Schizosaccharomyces pombe: one gene and its partners. The protein of the gene in region 4 binds, or shares a complex with, the protein of the main gene of each other region. Each region holds a gene or a part of one and is shown on either strand. Other genes may lie near its edges.

Region 1 (4,705 bases), on a different chromosome or scaffold from region 4:
AAGAAATAGCTATTCAACAAGTTTGATGTAAGCAGGAAGTAAAAGCGTTGCAAAACTTTTCTAAAAGTCTCCAACGCAAAAGCAATCTATATAATAAACAAATTCCCACACGCGGGAACGAAAACAACTTACTTAAAAGGACCATCCATCCACATCTGATTATATTCAGCCACTACTTTGTCCAGCAAAGCAGTTTTACTTCTTGTTTGAATATCCCGAAACGCAGCAGCACAAAATCTACGCATTAACAAGTAAAATTTGTCTGTTCGTAAAATATCAATTCCCGTCCATTCACGACCCATAGTTTCCCAAAAAGTAGATTGAAATAATATTCTATTGTCTATCCAGACAATTGGAACCAACGCGGCTAAATTATCTGAGAGTTTCTGTTGGTATAAGGGTTTATCAGCCATCCACATGCCTGCATATTAAAAAACAATTAGATGATTTACATTCATAACCCAAAAAAATTCATACAGTAAAATAAGCCCTTCCAAAGCTTGAGAAAGTCTAACCTTTCAAATTTTTTCTTTTGGCTTAAAAACCGCTGCAACGATTCAAGAGCCTTATCACGAGTTTTTCGATCTTACAGTGTTAGTACATTAATCATTTATATGTAAGAAATTTACCATTAGCTGCAAGTTTCTTAATAAACGGCGACGGAGCCGACATTGTTGGTTTATTGACAAAGTGTTGAAGCAGTTCTTAGCATCGTTCCTTCCATACTGCGTTTTAGTGCACTAATTGGAGAGTTGATAAATGTCCCTTTCTAATATATGAAATAAGGAGTTTCCCAGTCAATATGTATTATTTTTTTTAGAATTGACCGTTTATGTAGATTAATTGATCATAAGGTTAATGTACTACTATGGTTCGCTTACACTTCTATTACAAATGCCGGTTTTCTTAGTCATTCTTATATATAAGTCTTTAACCGTTCCATTGATCAACAAATGTTCTTTTTCTTCTTCCTTGCATGCCTTTGAAAAGGAGATCCTTTGAAAGATCTTTTCCTGTTGGATAGACAATCGGAGGATGAAAAAATTTTAAGAAAGCTTTAAACAAAAAAAGGCAAAAGATAATAATTTAACAAACAGTCGGCAGGGGTTCTTGATTATACAAAAAAAGTGCATGACTGCGAATGCTCAAATCTACTAATGAAGCAAATGAATAAATGTGAGAAAGGGTTTATCTGACAGAGAATGAACTGACTACAACAAGGGGATTTGGGGGATAAAGAAGGAAGCTATATTTTCGAATGAGAAAGGTATTCAAAATATTACTAATGGGTATTGAACTGTAAGCGAAAAAGTCAGTAGAGAGCTCAAACACCGAAATTGGAAACGTAATTATACAAATGTACTAAGAAAAGGATGCAGATATTTCCTTACAAAACTCAACATGTAACCCATCCAAGAAAGTAAAGGAGGCTGCACGGAATCATCAATAGACATAACAAAGTTTTAAGGACATATTAGGAAAGCGGGATTTTTGATGAACATATATCAAGTTCTGATGTAATATGGGAACTACTTATTTATCTTTAACAATCGGTTCGTAGGGGAATCGTTGGTCGCCATAATATAGCTCTCGAATATTTTTAACGTTGGCAAGATACCCTGCAAAATGTGGATTTGTGTAGTAGCGTATGTCTTTCTTTGAAACTGGAAGGGGAGGGCGAGGAGGTGTACGAAAACTTGAAGGATGCAAATGGGCACGTAGCGCCAACGGGCTGAAATATACTGTTGTTATACTGCCGCCTGCATTTTTGATTTGTTGTATAGCTTGAACTGTAGCCTTAGAAACTTCTATGGAAATTGCTGTTTTAAGGAGTCCAGGTTCGTCAGCAGTAAGTTCAACTCCATGTTTAATACCTCTACAGCATCTACTATCGAGGAGGTCTTTCATAGTAATTGTCTTGCTAGCATCCAATCTACCACGATCAATCCATTCCTGAACTCTCCCTAACCCCAGACGCAACGGTTTCTTCAAATGTCCCGTACTGTGACCAACTTTAGGAAATAATTTGGTGATAGGAGTTTGACCACCTTCAAAACCAGGTTTAATTCTCCGTCCACGCCTTTGACCAGATCCTTTATGACCACGTCCAGAGGTTTTTCCTAAACCGCTCGCAGGGCCTCTACCCACTCGCTTCTTTGACTGATAATTTGCACTGTTGTTTAAATCATTCAACATACTGATGCCGCGGAAACTAGCACCAAATCTTGGATAACCAGAGGATCTCAAAAAACCATGAAATGAAGAACTGCGACAAACCCGAGATAAAATATTAAACATTTTCCAATTCAAAAAACGGGTTTCGTCGAGTTTAGATGGTAATAAGTCCAAGGCTGCTGTTTACTATTACAAAAGATTCGGACACACACGAATACGTAAAATTCTATAGCGTCTCATAAAAATATCTTTATTACTATATTCAGCATCGCTGCACTGCGCAATTCGAATTTGTTTCCTCCTTTATTTCTTCCTGACATATGCCAGTGCATAATTGCAGCAACAGCGATCTTGCTTGGTAGATATAATAACCCTTTACTTTATAATGGAATCGGCACAGGCAGTAAGATTTATCAACAGTAACTCGGTAACTAATGTTTGTAGGTCGCGGAACCTCTTGATTTGGTGAGGCTTTCTTTGGATGAAATCGTTTATGTAAAATTACGGGGAGATAGAGAATTAAATGGCCGTCTTCATGTATGAAATTTTTTTAACGTTTCTTGAATATTTTTCTTATTCTGAATTGGTTATACTAACTCGATTGTAGGCCTATGATGAACATTTGGTATGAATCATATTCATAACTCGCATTTGGATGGATTACTTACACGTATTTTAGAATATGGTACTAGGAGATGCTGAAGAAATTGTAACTATTTTTGATGATGAAGAGACCGATAAGGACAAGGCCTTAAAAACGATTCGCAAACATTATGAGATGCTCTTTGTTCGTGGTACGTAGATTCTAAATATTACGCTCGAAAAGTTTGACCATGATTAAGCTTTCCTTTTCGAAACTGTTTTTCCTTTTTCGCCAAATGCTAATGAACTTTAGGTGATTCGGTTATTTTGATTGCTCCACCTCGTAATTAAAGGAACGAATAAAATTACTATACAAAGCTATCTACATATTTTTATCTCATTCTTTTGTTTAAAATTTTTCGCTTTAGAGGTGCTTCTTCGTACAATAGTAACGACTTTTGATTTGAGTATTCTATATTACAGAAAAGTTTGATTTTCCTTTATTCCGTTGGATGGATAGTTTTATCTTTCTTTAGTCACGCACCACTTCTTGTTATTCCTTACATCCTTTTACTTAATAAAAGCAAAAGACTCTTCGAAGTTAACCAACATTCACGAGACGCTGAGCTTTGTCATTGAGACTTTTCATTAATGGTTTTATTCTTTGTACTTGACAGGATAGTAAGCGATTTTTGCTTGCATGGTGGTTGCTCTTGCGATCTAGCAAAATCAGATTGACATTCCTTTAGAGATCAGAGACATAATACCATTCATTGTGCAAATAAAAAAAAACTATCAATTGCTTTCGATTTGGCGGTGTTGTTCACTAGTTCATCTAGTATTTTTTTATTATTAACAAGCGTATCATCATATATAGGCGTAGCGGTAAAATAGAACAAAATAAAATAAATTCTACAAATATTGATTGTATCCAAACACCCAGGACCATTTATTTCATGAAATGCTCGTGTCAATAGTATTCTCATAACGATGCGCACCGCTGAGACTTATTTCAAGGACAACACGAGCGCCAGAGACCTCTCCTCTGCCTACACGCTCCCTTCGTTATGAATTCAGCTAAAGCTACCTCTCTCCTCTTTCAAGGCTTTAGAAAAAATTGCTTGCGATTGAACCGCATTTCTTTCGCTTCAGGTTTGATTAACCGGTTCACCGTCCCAGCTCGAACTTATGCTGACGAAAAGGTATTTTTTTTTCATTCTTCATCTTTTTGATTACTTGTTAACTTTTTTAAGGTGTTCGTTAGAAAAAAGCCGCATGTCAATATTGGTACTATTGGTCATGTTGACCACGGTAAAACGACGTTGACGGCTGCTATTACTAAATGCCTTTCTGATCTTGGTCAAGCTAGTTTTATGGATTATAGTCAAATTGACAAGGCCCCCGAGGAAAAGGCACGTGGTATTACCATTTCATCTGCCCATGTTGAATACGAAACTGCTAATCGTCACTATGCCCATGTGGATTGTCCTGGTCACGCCGATTACATTAAGAATATGATTACTGGTGCTGCTACAATGGATGGCGCTATCATTGTTGTTTCTGCTACCGATGGTCAAATGCCTCAAACTCGTGAACATTTGCTTCTGGCTCGTCAAGTCGGTGTAAAGCAAATTGTTGTATACATCAATAAAGTCGATATGGTCGAGCCTGATATGATCGAGCTTGTCGAAATGGAAATGCGTGAGCTACTCTCCGAATACGGATTTGATGGTGACAATACTCCAATTGTTAGCGGCAGTGCTTTATGTGCCTTAGAGGGTCGTGAGCCTGAGATTGGTCTCAATAGTATTACTAAATTGATGGAAGCTGTTGATAGTTATATTACTCTTCCTGAAAGAAAAACGGATGTCCCTTTCTTGATGGCCATCGAGGACGTTTTTTCAATTTCAGGTCGCGGAACTGTAGTCACTGGCCGTGTCGAGCGCGG
Region 2 (4,253 bases), on a different chromosome or scaffold from region 4:
CTAGGACTTGACGTTCAATTACTAACTGTTATAGAAAATTTACTATTTAGTACACAGTAGATAACTAACTAATTGGATATAGCACTTGAGACATAGATCTCAAAGAGATTGTATCTATTTCATAAAAGAGACCTTTGTCTCTGGTTTAATCTGTTAATGCAGTCACGTTAAGTAAAAGCATTTTTGGAATTGTAATCACAACAAATCCAAGTAACAAAATATCATTGTTTTCGTATGATCATTAGAAGGTTAAGGTTTGCAGTTTTAATATCATAAATGGCATTTAACAATGACTACGATTGTAAATCCAAAGCTTCAGCTAACAGCTGACTTTTAGAATTGTATAATCGTGCAACATCGTCTTTAACTCGAACGATTACCCAGTCTCCAGCAGGCACAGGCTTTTTGTAGTTTATGCTATAACTGGGAGTACGCACATCGAAGTTTTCAGTAGGAATAGGGTCCCGAGGCTGTGTTGATTGTGAATTTGCTTGCGATGATCTAAGATTCCGAACAGTCTCAAGAGACTCGATCAATAAAGTTGCAATGGCGCCCCCATGAGCCAGTTTCTGATATCCTGTCAAAGCCTTACCCATGAGTCCAATGCTGATCCATTCTTCATGTTCGGGGTCATAAAATGTTTTAAATACAGGTATCAATCCATCTTTAAAGGAAAGAAAATTGGAAGGATACTTAGATTGAAGCAAGGACGGATGCTCCTCCATTTTCATGCTGCGTTGACGTTCGCGATAAATGTTATCAATCATTTGAACAGCTTCAGGCGATTTCGAAATTTCAGAAATATGTTTCGCACTTGCTGGTAGTCGATGATATGCTGTATAGGCATCACTGGAAACAACCCAAGAAGCTAGACCGCCTACCATAAATCCCCCAATCCCTGCTAATAACAGCTTATTTTGAAATAATTTAGAGCTCATAATCAAAAATTGAACAAAGTTTCAAACTTTTCGTCACAATGTAATAGGAGCGTTTACTATTAGCGATATTCGGACGTTATAAAACTGATACGCAGATGGAGCATATGTGCAAAGCATAGGGTATCATTAATTTATGCAAGAATATTTATCGTATATTTTAAGAAAATATAATTACTTACATATCCAAAAAGTATTCTATAATAATAACTAATACAGGAATAAACAAATTTCGTAATGCAATTGAAGCAAAGCATTTGGAGAGAAAATGATGATTGTGAATAATTCAATGACATAAATTGTAATAGTACAACATTAATTAATTTATTTCTTTTAAGATTGAATGTAAGAATCGATGCTCTGCCCTACTGTAGGAAATTAATCACTTCGATTACATTCAGCAAAATTCAACTTTGAAAAAAAAAGCAATATCAGAGAATAATCCAGGTACCTAGAAAAACTTTCATCGCCATTGCTGCAGTTTTCTAGTTGGTTTATGAAGAAGCATATACAATAAAAGATCGGAGAACTTTCACCTTTTTTAAAGCATCTGTTTTCAAAAAAGAAAGAAACTTTTATTTTCCCTTTTAATACGACTTCGGTCCAAATTACAGAAGTTGCGAAAACGAAAGTCAAAATTTTTGTAATAAAGATGCATACAGAGGGTATTCTGTATTTTTTGAAACAAAACTCTAATAAATATTAGAGAAAAAGCAGCCGTGGATTTTAGGAAAACTCCATTTCAACGCCTTCAACAGATATCATTTTCAACTCCCATTCACGCATAAAATTAACTTTGATTTCTTCCAGATGAGTAATAAGGGACTTAGCAGCATCAACAATAACCTGCTTTGGAGAACAATCTTCTACGGTTTGTACACGAAGTATGAAATTGTGATTTAATGGATGAGGAACTTTGTAACCAGCAAAAAGAACCCTTTCGTCAGATAGGAGTTGACTTCGAAAAAGCAGTTAGAAAAGAAAAAAAAATTTAGAAGTCTTACTTTGCAAGCATATTAGCCAATGTATGATCCTCTTTTTCAAGAGTAACTACTGCGGCATTAGGTGATTTGCTATCGAGCTCATATGTGACTCTACACTGGTTAATGCAATTCCTTGTAAAATTGTTTATTCCTTACTTGGGGAGTCCCATAAGCTCAATGAGCTCATACCGTTCTGGCTGATTCATTATGCCAACGTTTTCAGCCGACTAGCTGAAGAAGAAGTAAGATGTTGATGCTTACGAGGGTTTTGTCCACGTTCTGTACATTAAGCATCACTATAAATCGTAATGCCATTTAACAAAAGCTTTAACACTTTATTCCACAACTCATCGTATTTCGTTATAAATAACGCGAACGTGAACGGACACTTAATATATATTTATCTGTTGGAAATCGGCTCAAACGAGTAATGAAATGGGAGATGTAACAGTATTTTTTAATAACTGATTTTAATAACTAAAATTTTTAAAGGCATATTTTGAGGCGTTTAATTGTAGATTAACCGTACTTGTTTTCATTGAACTGTGCAGAAAGATAAACAACAAGAAAGCTCATTTAAATGTTGAAAAAAAAATAGTTTTTCGTACTTATTTCATTTTTTAGTTTCATAATGTAATTCGTTTGTTCGTTTTAAACAAATATTTTTATTGTTTACATTCTATGTTTCGCTTTGACTGTTACCTTATACCGTTACCTTTTCTTTTATGACGGAAAACGCGCCAACTTAAACCCTCCATTTACCCAAATCGAGAGTTATTCAAAATGCATCAATCATTATTATGTTTTGGAGCAAGACGCTTGCCAATGACCACAAAGTTGGGTCATCAGTATTACAAGGGTACAAGAACTGGGAAAATGGGTCAAAAAACCAGGCATGGAGGTTTTCTTGTCCAGTGGTCGCGTGTTCGCACGTTTGTGCCTCCTTCTGGTGATTGTGAGGTATGTTGTAAATTAATGAATATTGTTTTATATTAACTTTCAAAGCTTTTGCCTTTTGTTTCTCGTCGAATTCAAGCCACTAAAGGAACTTATCCTGAAGGTGCAAATGGGTTGGATGGAGCTGTGTATTTTGATCTTGCTCATAGCTAGTATGTTTATCAGCCTCATTCTTTATTGTTTTGAAAAATTTTGGTACCCTTTTCAACTGTTGCTTTATTCTATCTGTTAATGATTGGGCATACACTTTGAAAGGAGAAATTTCTACGTTACGATACCTTATGTTGCGTTGACTGTTGTTATTTATTGTTTACGGACACGTATATTTATCGATATTCTGTTGTGACGTTTGCTTCTATTAAATATACTAGTTACATTCTTACTTTTTCTGCCAAAATTGGGGGCAATCTTGAGTACTGCGCATTTATATATTTATTATAGGATTAGTCTTTTTCATCCCATCTATCTTAGAAAAAAAAGGGCTGCTAATACCTAGCAATGCGGTTTAAGCATGGATTTTCTATATCTTGGATATCAGGTATAAAAATGTCGAAAACTTCATGTTTCTTGAAGAAATACAGACTAATATTACTTTGGTGTATCCTTGGCATTGCCTACATTTTATTCTGGACTCATCGGATTAGCAAAGCGTTTGCTTCAGTATCCTCGACTTCGGACTCAACCGTCCATCTTTTTGAGCGCGGAAATACCTTAAATGATAGCAACGACCAAATTTTACTTACATGCAATGATATCAAAAACATTACCCCTGCTAATCAATGTCGGTTTGCAAAGGCTTACTGTAAGGGAGAGGCTAGTGGGTTCTTTGATTACGTTGAATTTTATTTTTGTACCATTAACAGTCTCCGATTCCCAGTGTTATCAATAATTGTGGGATGGCTGATTTTCCTTTTCATAACTATCGGAATTTCTGCTAGTGATTTTTTTAGTACCAATTTGGTTACTATTTCGTGGCTACTTCAATTGCCCGATTCTGTGGTTGGCGTTACTTTTCTTGCTTTAGGCAATGGATCTCCTGATATTCTTAGTACGTTCGCTGCTGTACGTGTCAACAGTGGGGGAATGGCTATTGGGGAACTTTTGGGCTCTGCATTCTTCATCGTAGCCATAGTTGCTGGCAGCGTATGTTTAATAAAGCCATTTAAAATACCTCGGCGTCACTTCCTTCGGGATGTTGCTTTCCTTACCGGTACTATTTTACTTGTTATAATGTTTGTTTTGCATGATGGTTCGTTGAGTATTTGGCAGAGTCTCGTAATGATACTTTATTATCTACTCTACGTTCTTTTCGTCTTTTTCTCTGGTAGCTCTGGTGTTAGCGTGGTAATCACTGATGAGAATTATTTGCCTGTCTCCC
Region 3 (5,457 bases), on a different chromosome or scaffold from region 4:
ACCATGGTTGGTGTGGAACCTTTATACCAGTCCAACGGAAATGAAAAATCGTCGAAGTATAATGTTTTTTCAGAAAGCGCGCATGGCAACCATCAAGTACTTTCCTTTTCACCTGGTTCATCCCCATCATTTATTGAGCAACCATCCCCAATTTCTCCAACTTCCACTACAAGTGAGGACACAAATACACTTGAAGAGGACACTGATGATCAGTCTATCAAATGGATACGTGGTGCGTTAATAGGTTCAGGATCGTTTGGACAAGTTTATCTCGGTATGAATGCATCTAGTGGTGAGTTGATGGCTGTTAAGCAAGTGATCTTAGATTCTGTTTCTGAATCAAAAGACCGCCATGCCAAACTTTTAGATGCATTAGCGGGTGAAATTGCTCTTCTACAGGAGTTGTCTCATGAGCATATTGTCCAATATCTCGGTTCTAACTTAAATTCGGACCACTTGAACATTTTTTTGGAATATGTTCCTGGGGGGTCGGTTGCCGGATTGCTTACAATGTATGGAAGCTTTGAGGAAACGCTAGTCAAGAACTTTATTAAGCAAACCCTTAAAGGCTTAGAATACCTTCATTCACGCGGCATTGTACACCGTGATATAAAAGGTGCGAACATCTTGGTTGATAATAAAGGGAAGATTAAAATTTCGGACTTTGGGATATCGAAGAAACTTGAACTAAATAGTACCTCTACGAAGACGGGTGGTGCTCGCCCTTCTTTTCAAGGCTCTTCTTTTTGGATGGCTCCCGAAGTGGTGAAGCAAACTATGCATACGGAGAAAACAGATATTTGGTCTTTGGGATGTTTGGTAATCGAGATGCTCACTAGTAAGCACCCTTATCCGAATTGTGATCAAATGCAGGCCATTTTCAGAATTGGGGAGAACATTCTGCCGGAATTCCCTTCTAACATTTCTTCATCGGCCATAGATTTCCTTGAGAAAACGTTTGCCATAGATTGTAATCTTAGACCTACAGCATCAGAGTTGTTGAGCCACCCGTTCGTTTCATAAGCCGGCTAAGTTATGATGAAAACAGAAACATTATTTTACGATCTATCTTTTTTATGTTTTTTTGCATCATTATCATTGCATTTATGCCATTTAGAACTAATGAATTTATTTAACCTATAAACCGTATGATTTAAGTTGCTATATTTTTCTACAATATTCATGTTTTTAATGATTTTGTGAATGTCCTTGATAAATACCATTATGAGTTTAGTTACTAAAAAAATACTATTTTACATGTTCAGTTTGTTTAAAAAATATCCATTGATTATTCCTTTTCAAGAAAAAACTTTTTATTTTTATTTACTTTGTGAAAACGATAACATAAATATATAATAACACATATCTACGGGAATTCTATCACTTAAACAAGTAAAACTCAAAAACGTATGTATGCATTAGTCGTAGAGAAGGGGATTTTTTGTTCACTCCTTGAGGAGAAAAGATTAGGTATAGTAGATATAAAATAAATTGTCTACTATCCAACATAGCCTTCCTTATTTCCATCTGTAAATGGAATAAGACTGCTGACGAAAAAACGAGCCAAACGGGTATCTTTGGAATTGGTTGTTATATTTACGTTAAATCCAGGTAAAGAGTGCGGATACATCTCATAAACAGCTTCAATTTGGGGAAATAAAGGCATGACTTCACTTGGTAAACCAAAAGATATGTTTCCTGTTTGATCTCCGCTTGTAGGACTCAGGCCCTTGAAATCATGAAGCTGAGGAAGAACCAACTCAGATAAGATTGAAAGAAATGTATACATAGATTCTCCAGTTAGAGTAACCTTTACACCTACTGGCACACCTGAACGAAGTTTCCAGGGAGAAACGTCCTTACGTGCATAGACTATTTCGGGCTGCAAACCCGTTATAGAACGAAATGCCATCATTGTACTCAAGAGCTGCGTTTTGTCAACGAGTGCTTCTTTATGCATAGTGCTGACGACAACTTTGCTAATAGAAGGAAGGTTTTTAGGATTAACGGACTCCTTTACTGGTAACAGAGGCTTATTACCACGCATTTTCTGAGGAGGCCGGTTTTTATAATAAGGGTTATCACCAATCCACCTTGGAAGTCTGTCTTTCTGTGTATGTTCATCTGTGCTTAACGCTGTATCTATGTCATGTCGATATGAAGCAGCTAATACATCCGGTAAAATGGTATCATGCAAGTGTTCTTGTAAGCGATTTAACATGGTGGGTCCTGGACGAAAATACTCAGAATTTGGATCCCATCCTGGTAGGGGCCTATTCTTGCCCAGTTTTTGCTTTACAGTGATGGTTCTTCGCTGCAGAAAGTTAACTGATATTCTGATATTTTTTCTTATCCCAAGCATTGTTAAAAATTAAAAAATGAATTAAAACAAGTATAATGACAAAGAGAAACCAAAAGCGACAAAAATACAACAGGTTACTTTCTAGGGAATTTTCGTGAAAATCCTTTTGCTTTATAAGCAGATGAGCACTTGTGTTATAATTTACCAATAAATTATAGTAAATAACACAAATCCGGGAAAAAATATTTATAATCACGAAACAAGGAAATTGTAAAGACCAATGTCCACAAATGATACCTGTTTCTCAAATCTTCAAAGGAAGGTTTTAACAAATGGTTATGGATAAAACAGGTAAGTCTCGCAACCAAAACAATTTTGCAATGGATCTTAGGTACTAGGGCTGGAAGATTGCTCGCGTTTGTCTAGTGTATTGTCATGGTTAGTGTACCGTATTACCTAGTGCCAAGTAAGGAAATCCGAGGCATCGTTATAATCATATGCCACACGATTTTGAGTGCCAAGTGTAATAGAAAGTATTGTACTTGTAACTTACAAACTTATTTAAACAAGTTAGCTTTAAAGCTTTAAGCTGATGTCTTTCTGTTTTTTTTTATACGTCGAAAAACAAATGTTTTTCCTTCAGCTGGTACATAAAAAAGCAGCTAATTGCTCTTCTTTTACAAGATGATTTTATTTTTGTATTTCTCAAAATCGTGCCAAATGGCATGCCACACATATTCAAATTATTGGAAAGTATTATTACTAACTGGCTCTACAAACTATTTGGATAGGATAGTGATGCATGTCATAAGATCACTTTCATGCAATAACAATACTAATCCAATTCGTTCTTTTGTATTCACTTTGTTCTTGTTCGTTTTTTACCTTCTTTCCTTTCAATATAGATGTGTGATGATGAATGAGAGATGCAAGAAGCTTAGCTCAAACACAATCCTGAAAGAGTAAAGTACTCAACATAAAATAATGCATTTATACATTTCGTACCTTTATCAATCTATTATGCAACAATAAAAGCATTTTATCCAAAAGAAAACAAGTTGTCTTAATACTTGAAAAGATCAATAGATTTACTTTTAGTTTGGTTTTCTAAAAAGAGAATCACACTTGATAAGAAATTGATTGCCTCGAATAACTCAAAACTAAATTATCTTAAACAACAGATACCGCCAGTGTATACTCAAAAATCATAGATATATGTTTCGAATTCGTAACACTTTAATGAAAAACCAAGCATTTCATAGGAAAGACAAATTTACACTTTAGTTTTGTGTCCAGGCATTACGATAACGTCTGGTAAAGACATAAAAAGAGGTATAAGATCTGGCACTTGAGAATCGCCAGTCATTACAATTTGGATACAGAACAAGCTCTAGAAACTCAAGATAGTGCAGTAAATGTTTATAAAGAGCATTTCTGCTTAGAATCACAAAACAAATTGCACTGAGTAACCAAATATTGAATATTCACTGTCCAAGCTCATATGCTTATTATCAATCAATTGGCAAGCTGAGGATATCCAACAAGTCAGATAACTTCATAATTCGAGGCTAAAGATTCTATTTAAAGAATTCAACGCAGTCCTATGTAAACAATTAACCCATTCTATGATATATATTGTAACATTGGGAAGCGCCTTAATTGCTTGTGTTTAGGTCAAACCAGAACAGCGCTATGATAACTAAACAACGTTTTATTTTCCCATCGACCATATTTTAATTTAAGTGTCGTGAATACCCGTACACTTTAGGCCATTTGATGACTATTCATACTTATATAAAAGTCAAAGCCTTTCTTTAGGCAAGTGAAGAACCATTTCTAATTCGTAAGCACAGTGTATAAACAAAGAAATCCGTGATACATTATTTTGGGTTATTTCACTTCGTGAGAAATAAAGCAAGAAATTTGTTCGTTGTTGGCAGCAAAGTTAATTGACTGCTTCTAACAAACTTCAGAATTTTTAATGAAACATTACAATCAACAATACAGTTTAATTATTGCTGATGTTAACCATTTTCTTTAATAGCTCAGACAAAACCAAATGTTCCGGAGGTTCCGTAGCAGGCGTAGAAAATGTGTTTAAAGCAGGGCTTCTCAATGGGCGGAATAAAACACGTTCACCTTGTAAATGTCCGTTTTGCGGAGATCCGTTCAAGTGTGTCTCACAAGAACTGAGATTCCCAGACACTAAAGGATAAGAACTAGTACTTTCACTAAATGGTGTGCTAGTCCTACTAAAACCAGAATCGACAGCTCTAGGACTCTCATTTGAAAACGTGCGTTGTTGTAATGAATGAACAGAGCACCCGGTAGTTTGAGCAGGTATAGGTTGAACAGGTCCAACGAGGCTATCCACCATCCTCCCAAATTGCAGACTTGCAATACTAGATGACTGATTAGCTATGGATGGTGTTCCAGATAAAAAAGGAGATGTAGGAGAAGATTGAGCAGATGGAAAAGAAGATGAGGACATTAGTGAATAATTCGATAATCCCATTCCAGTAAAAGCCTGTCCGCTAAATGGAGATCTGTGGGGTGTTGGAGGCGAAGAAAAAGATGTGCTATTTGGTGTACTTTTCGCTCGCATATTCAGTAACACATACAAAGAATCTAACGCAATTGTTATCAGTGCGTCAGAATCATCAACTTGGGGACCTTTACCTTCCTCATTAAAAGGATAATGATTTGAAAAGTAAAGCCACTGTAAAGTATCACGAGGAACTCCACAAACCTTAACAAGAGGGAAAAAGAATAGCAGGCCGATACTTTTAGAAGAACAGCGTACAAGAACAGAGTCGTCGGGAGCTGTTTGATTTGTGTTCTCCAAAAAGAAGCTTAAACGATTGAATATCTGTGAAAGTCCAGTTCGAATATCTTTAGTAAGCCAGACGTCCCCATTTTGCAAACACGAAGAAGTCAAAACACACAAAGGTAGAAGCATTGGCATAAGTACAGCATTTGAAGACAGAGATCCATATTGACGACGTTCGACTAGATCATCAAAATTACCGTCCTTCTTACTCGACACACCAGAGGTAAGAGCTTGTAAAGGAAGCTGGCTATTCACTGAATCAGAAAGGACTTCAAAAAACATAGTTGTAGTTTGTGTAGCAAGCTTTAAATTCGGATACGACTCA
Region 4 (6,174 bases):
ATGGAAACTAGGAAAAACCTATAATATCCAAACTATGCATGTATTCATATGCATTATCACTACTCTTAGTCCACATCGCTTACTTTAAATATCATTTTACAGTCTATAATGGAAAATCATGCATGTAAAAATTTCAATCATTCATTTATGCGTTCATGAAAAACATTATTTCAATTAAAAATTCGCTTTTATCTGTACAAAAAAAAGCAAACTTCTATGAGGGTGTTTTTGACAACCCATGGAATCGTCGTTTGTTTGTCATCGCTAATCATTTGGGTTCAGTTGGTTTATGAGAGAAGAAACTAATAATAACATAAAAAAGAATAACGTTAACAACGTTTAATCTCTCCGACTTTGCCGAGATGTGATCCGGAATGTTTGGCAATACGTTTGGAACAATTAACAAGAACACTTAATGGATAGCAGGTATAGAACGAGCCAATGCTAGGCACTTTACGTTTTCAAATACACAACAAACCCTGTGTGTATTTTTTCAAAGTATTGCCACATAACCCTAAATGGCGAGAATTGGGGATTTCCAATTTAAAACCATTTTGAGGTACCCTTTTTAAGGGCTTCTGCTTGTTCAGTACCCTTGGCTTGCGCCTCTGACAACACATTTTTTACGTTTTCACGAGGTTTGTCGAGTTCATCGACAACCCTCTCCTTCCCACTTTGGAGATAAGATTTTGCCTTTTCAGTGGTTTCGCCAACAGCTTTGTCAAATCGTTGACCCTCATTTTCCACGGCTCTGACGATTTCTGCATTCTTCTGTTCCAATCTGGAAGATGCCTGACGATTATGGCGAGTCATATAATAACCAACACCAACAGCAGCGGCCAAGGCTCCAAGAGTAACACGCCTATTCATGATGCTCGATTAGGATTTCGTGAATTAACCGAGTAAAAAAAAATTAATAAATCGAAAGGTTATATAAAAGCGGTTTTCTCCGTACAACACAAAGGATTGATATAATATTCAATCGAGCGCACGAAAAAAAATTAGATTTTTCCTGAACACTAGTAAATGTTCAATTGTAAAGTAAAACAATATTTCAAAGTAGTAAGTCGCTTTTGTTCAACTCACAACTTTATCGTTAATAAGAGTGCTCACTTCTACTTCCCACTGCTCTATATATAACACTTTTAGTAGCACAATACGGCAACGTAAATGAGATCATTCATATACGTATTAACCCACCCACCCATCATATAATTCTTGTGTCTGACTGATGTCACCCCAAAACTTCTCGAGGTACTAAGTAACAAGGAGAGAAGAGGAGAGAGGAGTGTAGGATTTGAGAATCGCAGTATGCAGTATTACAACAAAGCTGTGTCCACCATACAAATTAAGCTTGTTAGAGTCTGTAAAAACAATGTCTTAAAGCAAAATTCCTCAACTAGGTCGCATGTTTCTTTAGACGATCGTTGGAAAATTGGGCCAACAAAGAAGAGCACGTATAGTCACACAAGCTTCAAAAAAGTAGAAAACGGCGAAACAAAGCTTTAATATAAGTAAATAGTAGCTAGAGATGGATGTATTAATGAAATCCGTAGAATGCAAATTGTCCTAAGGAGATGGATGGATGATGGCTGGTGAGGAAACTTGCAAAAGTAAGTATCTCGTGAGTGTTTATAAACGGTTGATGTCGATTGGAAATCTTAAATAGCAACTGCTTAAAAGCCGAAAAAATATCTTTATTTTCACCACTTGAGGTTTGAACGAAAGGGCTCTCTGTACAAGAGGAAATAAAGATGTTTTTTTACTGCTCGCTGACCCAATTAATTATGTACACCATTGTATATTCTCAGTAATAGTTAAAAGATAAAACCAAAAAAAAAAAAAAACTGGCTTGAGTGTTACAAAAGCAACATACTCTATGATTGAGGATTTCCGAGCCTACTAAGCTGAAATGAAAAATTTCCTCATTTGTTCCAAAAAGGAAATATGTACATGAGAAGGGAGAGGTAAAAATGTAAAACAAGTTCGTGCCTGTATAATAACATTTTAAAGGTTGCGACAAAAATTCGCGATATGCAGACCAATGTGCGTAAATGTTGATAGAAATGTAAAGGATAATTCGTAAAATGCCAGAGAGCCTTTGTAAATTAAGAAATAAAGAAGAATGAAGATGTCTGTTTTTTTTGAAAAGCTTCAAAACTAATATTATTTTCCAAGGAACTTTCAAATCACTCGAGTATTTTGTAACGTGATTGAAACATTAAATAATGCAGTCAAAAACGCTTCCGCATGTGCATCAGAGCTTTATTGAAAACCAGAGTTTTAGAATCCCAAAAACTATTAAATTATTTTAAACCTGTGCTACTCGTTCCAATGTACGGAATGCTTGACGAGATGCACGTTGTCGGCGAATTTCACGCTTCTTTGATCCCCAGGCAAGTTTTTCAGCCTCAAAATTTTCTTCAACTTTTTGAATCCTTTCTTTGGGAGCTTCACAAACTCGTGAAATTAGTAACCGAGTTGTGTTAAACTTTTTAGACAGTGTTCCAGTTGTCCAAGCATTCGGATCTTTCGTCCTCAAGTCTTGGATGGATTTGATATCTTCACTACTCAGTTGATGAGTAGAAAACCTCAACTTTCCTTTGCTTTTCGATTTTCGGCTAACTGCCGGCGGGAGAAACATTGACTCTTTGGAAAGTGAGGTATCACGCTGATGAATTGGAGGTGCATCATAGCGAAAAACAGGAGGAGTAATCCTAACATCTGGAGAAGACGCTGGTGGATTGTAATAAGCAGATGTAGTTTCAGTTACCTCTGCTATTTTGGAACCCATAGGAATTTTAGGTCGCTTAGGAATACGTTGTTTAGGGTATAGCCGGTTCAAATTCCGAGTCTGAATGAAGCCTACAGGCTTCAAAAATGAAGGTTTGATTGTAAACAACATGTTTTTACTCTTTCAACTATTTTAATTTTGGTGTCGCTTTAGAAATGATGCTTTAAATTTTTTTGAGAAAAGGTTATAACACAAAAAACTGTAAAGGGCCTTTTGGATAAACCCACACTTCAAATAATATTAGTTATAACGAAGATTCTCAAAGCCTAAAAGCTATAGCAACGACGTGACAAAAGAGCTCAATGCAAAAAAAAAATAAACAGCAAAAAAACACGCAAAAAATCACTTGGAAGAGTTCTAACTTTTGAATTTACAAGAATCGTATTAAGGCTTGCAATTTTCCGAGTAAAAACACGAAATTACTCTCCAAATGCGGGTTTCCTGGAGTTTAGCAGTCTCTATATGCACAGTATCCACACTCTTAGTTTCAATACGTATAATGCAGTGTGTTTATGGCACCTTAAATGTATATTATATAATTCGTTATATTAAAACTGGTTTTTGGCACTTTGACGGTTTATTAAGAGAAATCGGAAGATTCAAGCTAAAAAATATTGTTAACGGCATTTTGATTGTAGGATAAATTCAATACAATTTTGTTTTGCTGTTTTTTTTTTAAACCATTTCTAATCTGTTCATGGTTCAATTTAAATACCGATTATATTGAATACTGGAAGCATGATATTTTAAATATTAAATTAAATTTATTTTATTTTTTTCAATTTTCCATAGATTTTTAGGAAATGTACACACCTTTTCAAACTGACCCAAATTTTTTGCAATGTAAATTATAATATCAAATGGTTAAGTAAGGGGTAACCTTTTGTTTACAGTCAGCTTCAATTTATCAAGTGAATATTAGCCGCATTGGCCCTATAACTAAAATCGGAATTTATTACAAGAACTATTGATTTCTTATAAGGCCTTAAACAACTACATCAGAACATGTTTCCAATTCTCTGCTTGATTTTAATCAATATTATAATGGTATAATAAATAATTATCGTTATCGTTAATAGCTACTTATATTATACAAGTTTACAAGATATTTCAAGAAGCTTTGGTGGTTTAGTGGTATAATGAATCGTTGCCATCGATTCGACCCGGGTTCGATTCCCGGCCAAAGCATTTATTTTTCTCTTTTTATATTCCATCTGACTTAATTTATAAAAACTAATCAAAAGAACCATGCTTGCGTTTTTTGTGGAGTTGCTCAAGTAAACCAATTCATAAATAATAATAATGGAAATGTTGGTCTATTTATCAATCTAATATGCCTCACTGATAGTACTATACGATTATTAGATTTTGCTTTTACTATTGCAAACGAGAGTGTAGTCTTTCTGCACATTTTAAGGATTAATGCAAATTTTTCCTTTTGAAAAAGTCAAACTACGTTTTCTTAATTAAAGCTGCGATCTTAAGTCGCTCATTTACGAAATTCATATTTCAATCGATTACCCAGTTTCCAAACACAAACTATACCACCTTCCCTCATCTTTCCTTGTTCTCCTTTTTACAATATATTTAGCAGCTGATGGATAGTGCTAAACTTATCTTCATTAATCAAATTAACGATTGTAAGGACGGCCAAAAACTTCGATTTTTAGGATGCGTGCAATCATATAAGAATGGCATTCTACGGTTGATTGATGGATCAAGCAGCGTGACTTGTGATGTTACAGTAGTTTTACCTGATGTATCTATTCAAAAGCATGAGTGGCTCAACATTGTTGGGAGAAAGCGGCAGGATGGTATTGTGGATGTCTTGTTAATACGATCTGCTGTTGGAATTAATCTTCCGAGATATCGACAAATGGTTTCTGAACGTCAAAAATGTGATTGATGAATATCTTATGTAGTTCTGTTGCACCATGTCATTACAAACTCATTTAAAAATATATAGAAAGTGATCACCTTAAGATACCATAAAGGTACTGAATCGTGTTAATGTCAGTCTTTATAATAATAAATATTTATTAACCTCCAGGTTCAAAGTCGAAAACAAACAATCATGGTTAAAAAAAAAAAGGAACGAATTACATCTGTTCAAATTGCTATATACTCTAATTTGAATGTTTAACTAACAAAGATAAGCGTTACCTTGTGGCATCTATTTATTTTTGTTGAAACTTTTATTACTTTGTAAAAACTTAAGACAAATTACCAGAATTTGTTTTGTCTTTCCAACATGGACATGTAATATGTGGCTTCAACATTCATCAAAGAATCCTCTTCCAAACTATCAGTGACTGTGCGAAAGAAATTAAAGCGAAGACGATTATGATTAATCAGACGCTTCAGCACTGAAAATGAGTGAGGTGCATGAAATTGGGAATACTAAACCAAATTTAGAGATAATCAAGCTATTCGGTTGTAGGTGTTGTGTCTGAATATTGACTGGAATCATGTTCGTGTTTTTCGTCGGCGACTTGAACGATCGTTTTCGTTTGAACAGATGAAGAGGCCTTAGTAGAGATGGTATCCGCACCAAACAGGAAATAGCCAAAGAAGGTGCCACAAAAGAGAAATAAAATTACATAGCCATTATAATACATTGCGAGTAACATTGCGATATACGCGACAATATACTGGACTAGATAAAAGCAGGACCGAAGAAAATGAAGAAAGATTCGAAGGGCCATGCTTGGACCAGAATGAACAGGGGCACCCGAATGACAGCAGGAATTGCTAGCGGGAGAAAATCTACGGACACACCAACGATCGAACTCTCTTTGTCCGCGACGGACCAATTCCAATGCCATCATCATGAAGATAATTCCGAAAATACTACCGACAAACATATGCTTACTGGTGATATGCCAATGTTTGGTAATAAAGCAAGCATCGATAGTATACCAGTTCCAATACATGGATAATTTACAAGAAGAAGCCTTTGCGGTTGTAGTGGTATTAGTCATATTCATGCCAGACATGGATGTTGTGCTGTTGGACATGTTCATTCCAGACATGGATGTTGTACTATTGGTCATGTTCATTCCAGACATGGGTGTCGTACTGTTGGTCATGTTCATTCCAGACATGGATGTATCATTCGACATGTTCATAGCAGCCATAGCGGCTCTAGCAGTCAAAATTTGCAAAGGTGGGAGCAAATTCTCCAATTGAGACAAGCTAGAGTCATCTACAGGGCCTTGGGAATTTTGAGCCATAGATGTTCCTAACTTAATGAGGGAATTACCCAGACTTTGCTTTGCAGCGGAGAAGAAAGACATGACTTCTAGGGAAAAATAAAAAACCAGAAGAGTAGTAAATGAGTTTTAGAAAAAAAGGACGAAAGAGTTAAAAGAAAACTTGAA

Evidence for each region.
Region 1: mrpl20 (region 4) and mrpl10 share a complex: the UniProt entries of both Schizosaccharomyces pombe proteins name them as parts of the mitochondrial large ribosomal subunit.
Region 2: mrpl20 (region 4) and mrpl27 share a complex: the UniProt entries of both Schizosaccharomyces pombe proteins name them as parts of the mitochondrial large ribosomal subunit.
Region 3: mrpl20 (region 4) and mrpl7 share a complex: the UniProt entries of both Schizosaccharomyces pombe proteins name them as parts of the mitochondrial large ribosomal subunit.

The regions. Positions count from the first base shown.
Region 1 is NC_003423.3:1,820,529-1,825,233, reverse strand, and holds mrpl10 (mitochondrial 54S ribosomal protein uL15m), read right to left. Parts: upstream 2,332-4,705; 5' UTR 2,299-2,331; coding exon 1,534-2,298; 3' UTR 1,277-1,533; downstream 1-1,276. Other genes in the region: Nop52 family nucleolar protein, read right to left, coding at 133-421, 478-585, 630-672; U6 snRNP-associated protein Lsm3, read left to right, coding at 2,561-2,578, 2,620-2,712, 2,783-2,800, 2,855-2,969, 3,071-3,108; translation elongation factor EF-Tu Tuf1, read left to right, coding at 3,825-3,959, 4,011-4,705. UniProt on the Schizosaccharomyces pombe protein: Component of the mitochondrial ribosome (mitoribosome), a dedicated translation machinery responsible for the synthesis of mitochondrial genome-encoded proteins, including at least some of the essential transmembrane subunits of the mitochondrial respiratory chain.
Region 2 is NC_003424.3:1,431,824-1,436,076, reverse strand, and holds mrpl27 (mitochondrial ribosomal protein subunit L27), read left to right. Parts: upstream 1-2,678; 5' UTR 2,679-2,701; coding exon 2,702-2,878; exon of another isoform or gene 2,879-2,923; coding exon 2,924-3,028; 3' UTR 3,029-3,304; downstream 3,305-4,253. Other genes in the region: SPOM_SPAC3A12.08 (uncharacterized protein), read right to left, coding at 294-938; DNA-directed RNA polymerase II complex subunit Rpb11, read right to left, coding at 1,662-1,893, 1,940-2,029, 2,075-2,124; SPOM_SPAC3A12.06C (sodium/calcium exchanger), read left to right, coding at 3,422-4,253. UniProt on the Schizosaccharomyces pombe protein: Component of the mitochondrial ribosome (mitoribosome), a dedicated translation machinery responsible for the synthesis of mitochondrial genome-encoded proteins, including at least some of the essential transmembrane subunits of the mitochondrial respiratory chain.
Region 3 is NC_003423.3:1,735,883-1,741,339, reverse strand, and holds mrpl7 (mitochondrial 54S ribosomal protein uL5m), read right to left. Parts: upstream 2,699-5,457; 5' UTR 2,363-2,698; coding exon 1,499-2,362; 3' UTR 1,243-1,498; downstream 1-1,242. Other genes in the region: MAP kinase kinase kinase Byr2, read left to right, coding at 1-1,023; ebs1 (EST1 family protein), read right to left, coding at 4,311-5,457. UniProt on the Schizosaccharomyces pombe protein: Component of the mitochondrial ribosome (mitoribosome), a dedicated translation machinery responsible for the synthesis of mitochondrial genome-encoded proteins, including at least some of the essential transmembrane subunits of the mitochondrial respiratory chain.
Region 4 is NC_003421.2:818,375-824,548, reverse strand, and holds mrpl20 (mitochondrial 54S ribosomal protein mL58), read right to left. Parts: upstream 3,255-6,174; 5' UTR 2,906-3,254; coding exon 2,312-2,905; 3' UTR 1,072-2,311; downstream 1-1,071. Other genes in the region: SPOM_SPCC1393.12 (uncharacterized protein), read right to left, coding at 544-870; telomere cap complex subunit Ten1, read left to right, coding at 4,392-4,700; Cu(2+) transporter complex subunit Ctr4, read right to left, coding at 5,221-6,090. UniProt on the Schizosaccharomyces pombe protein: Component of the mitochondrial ribosome (mitoribosome), a dedicated translation machinery responsible for the synthesis of mitochondrial genome-encoded proteins, including at least some of the essential transmembrane subunits of the mitochondrial respiratory chain.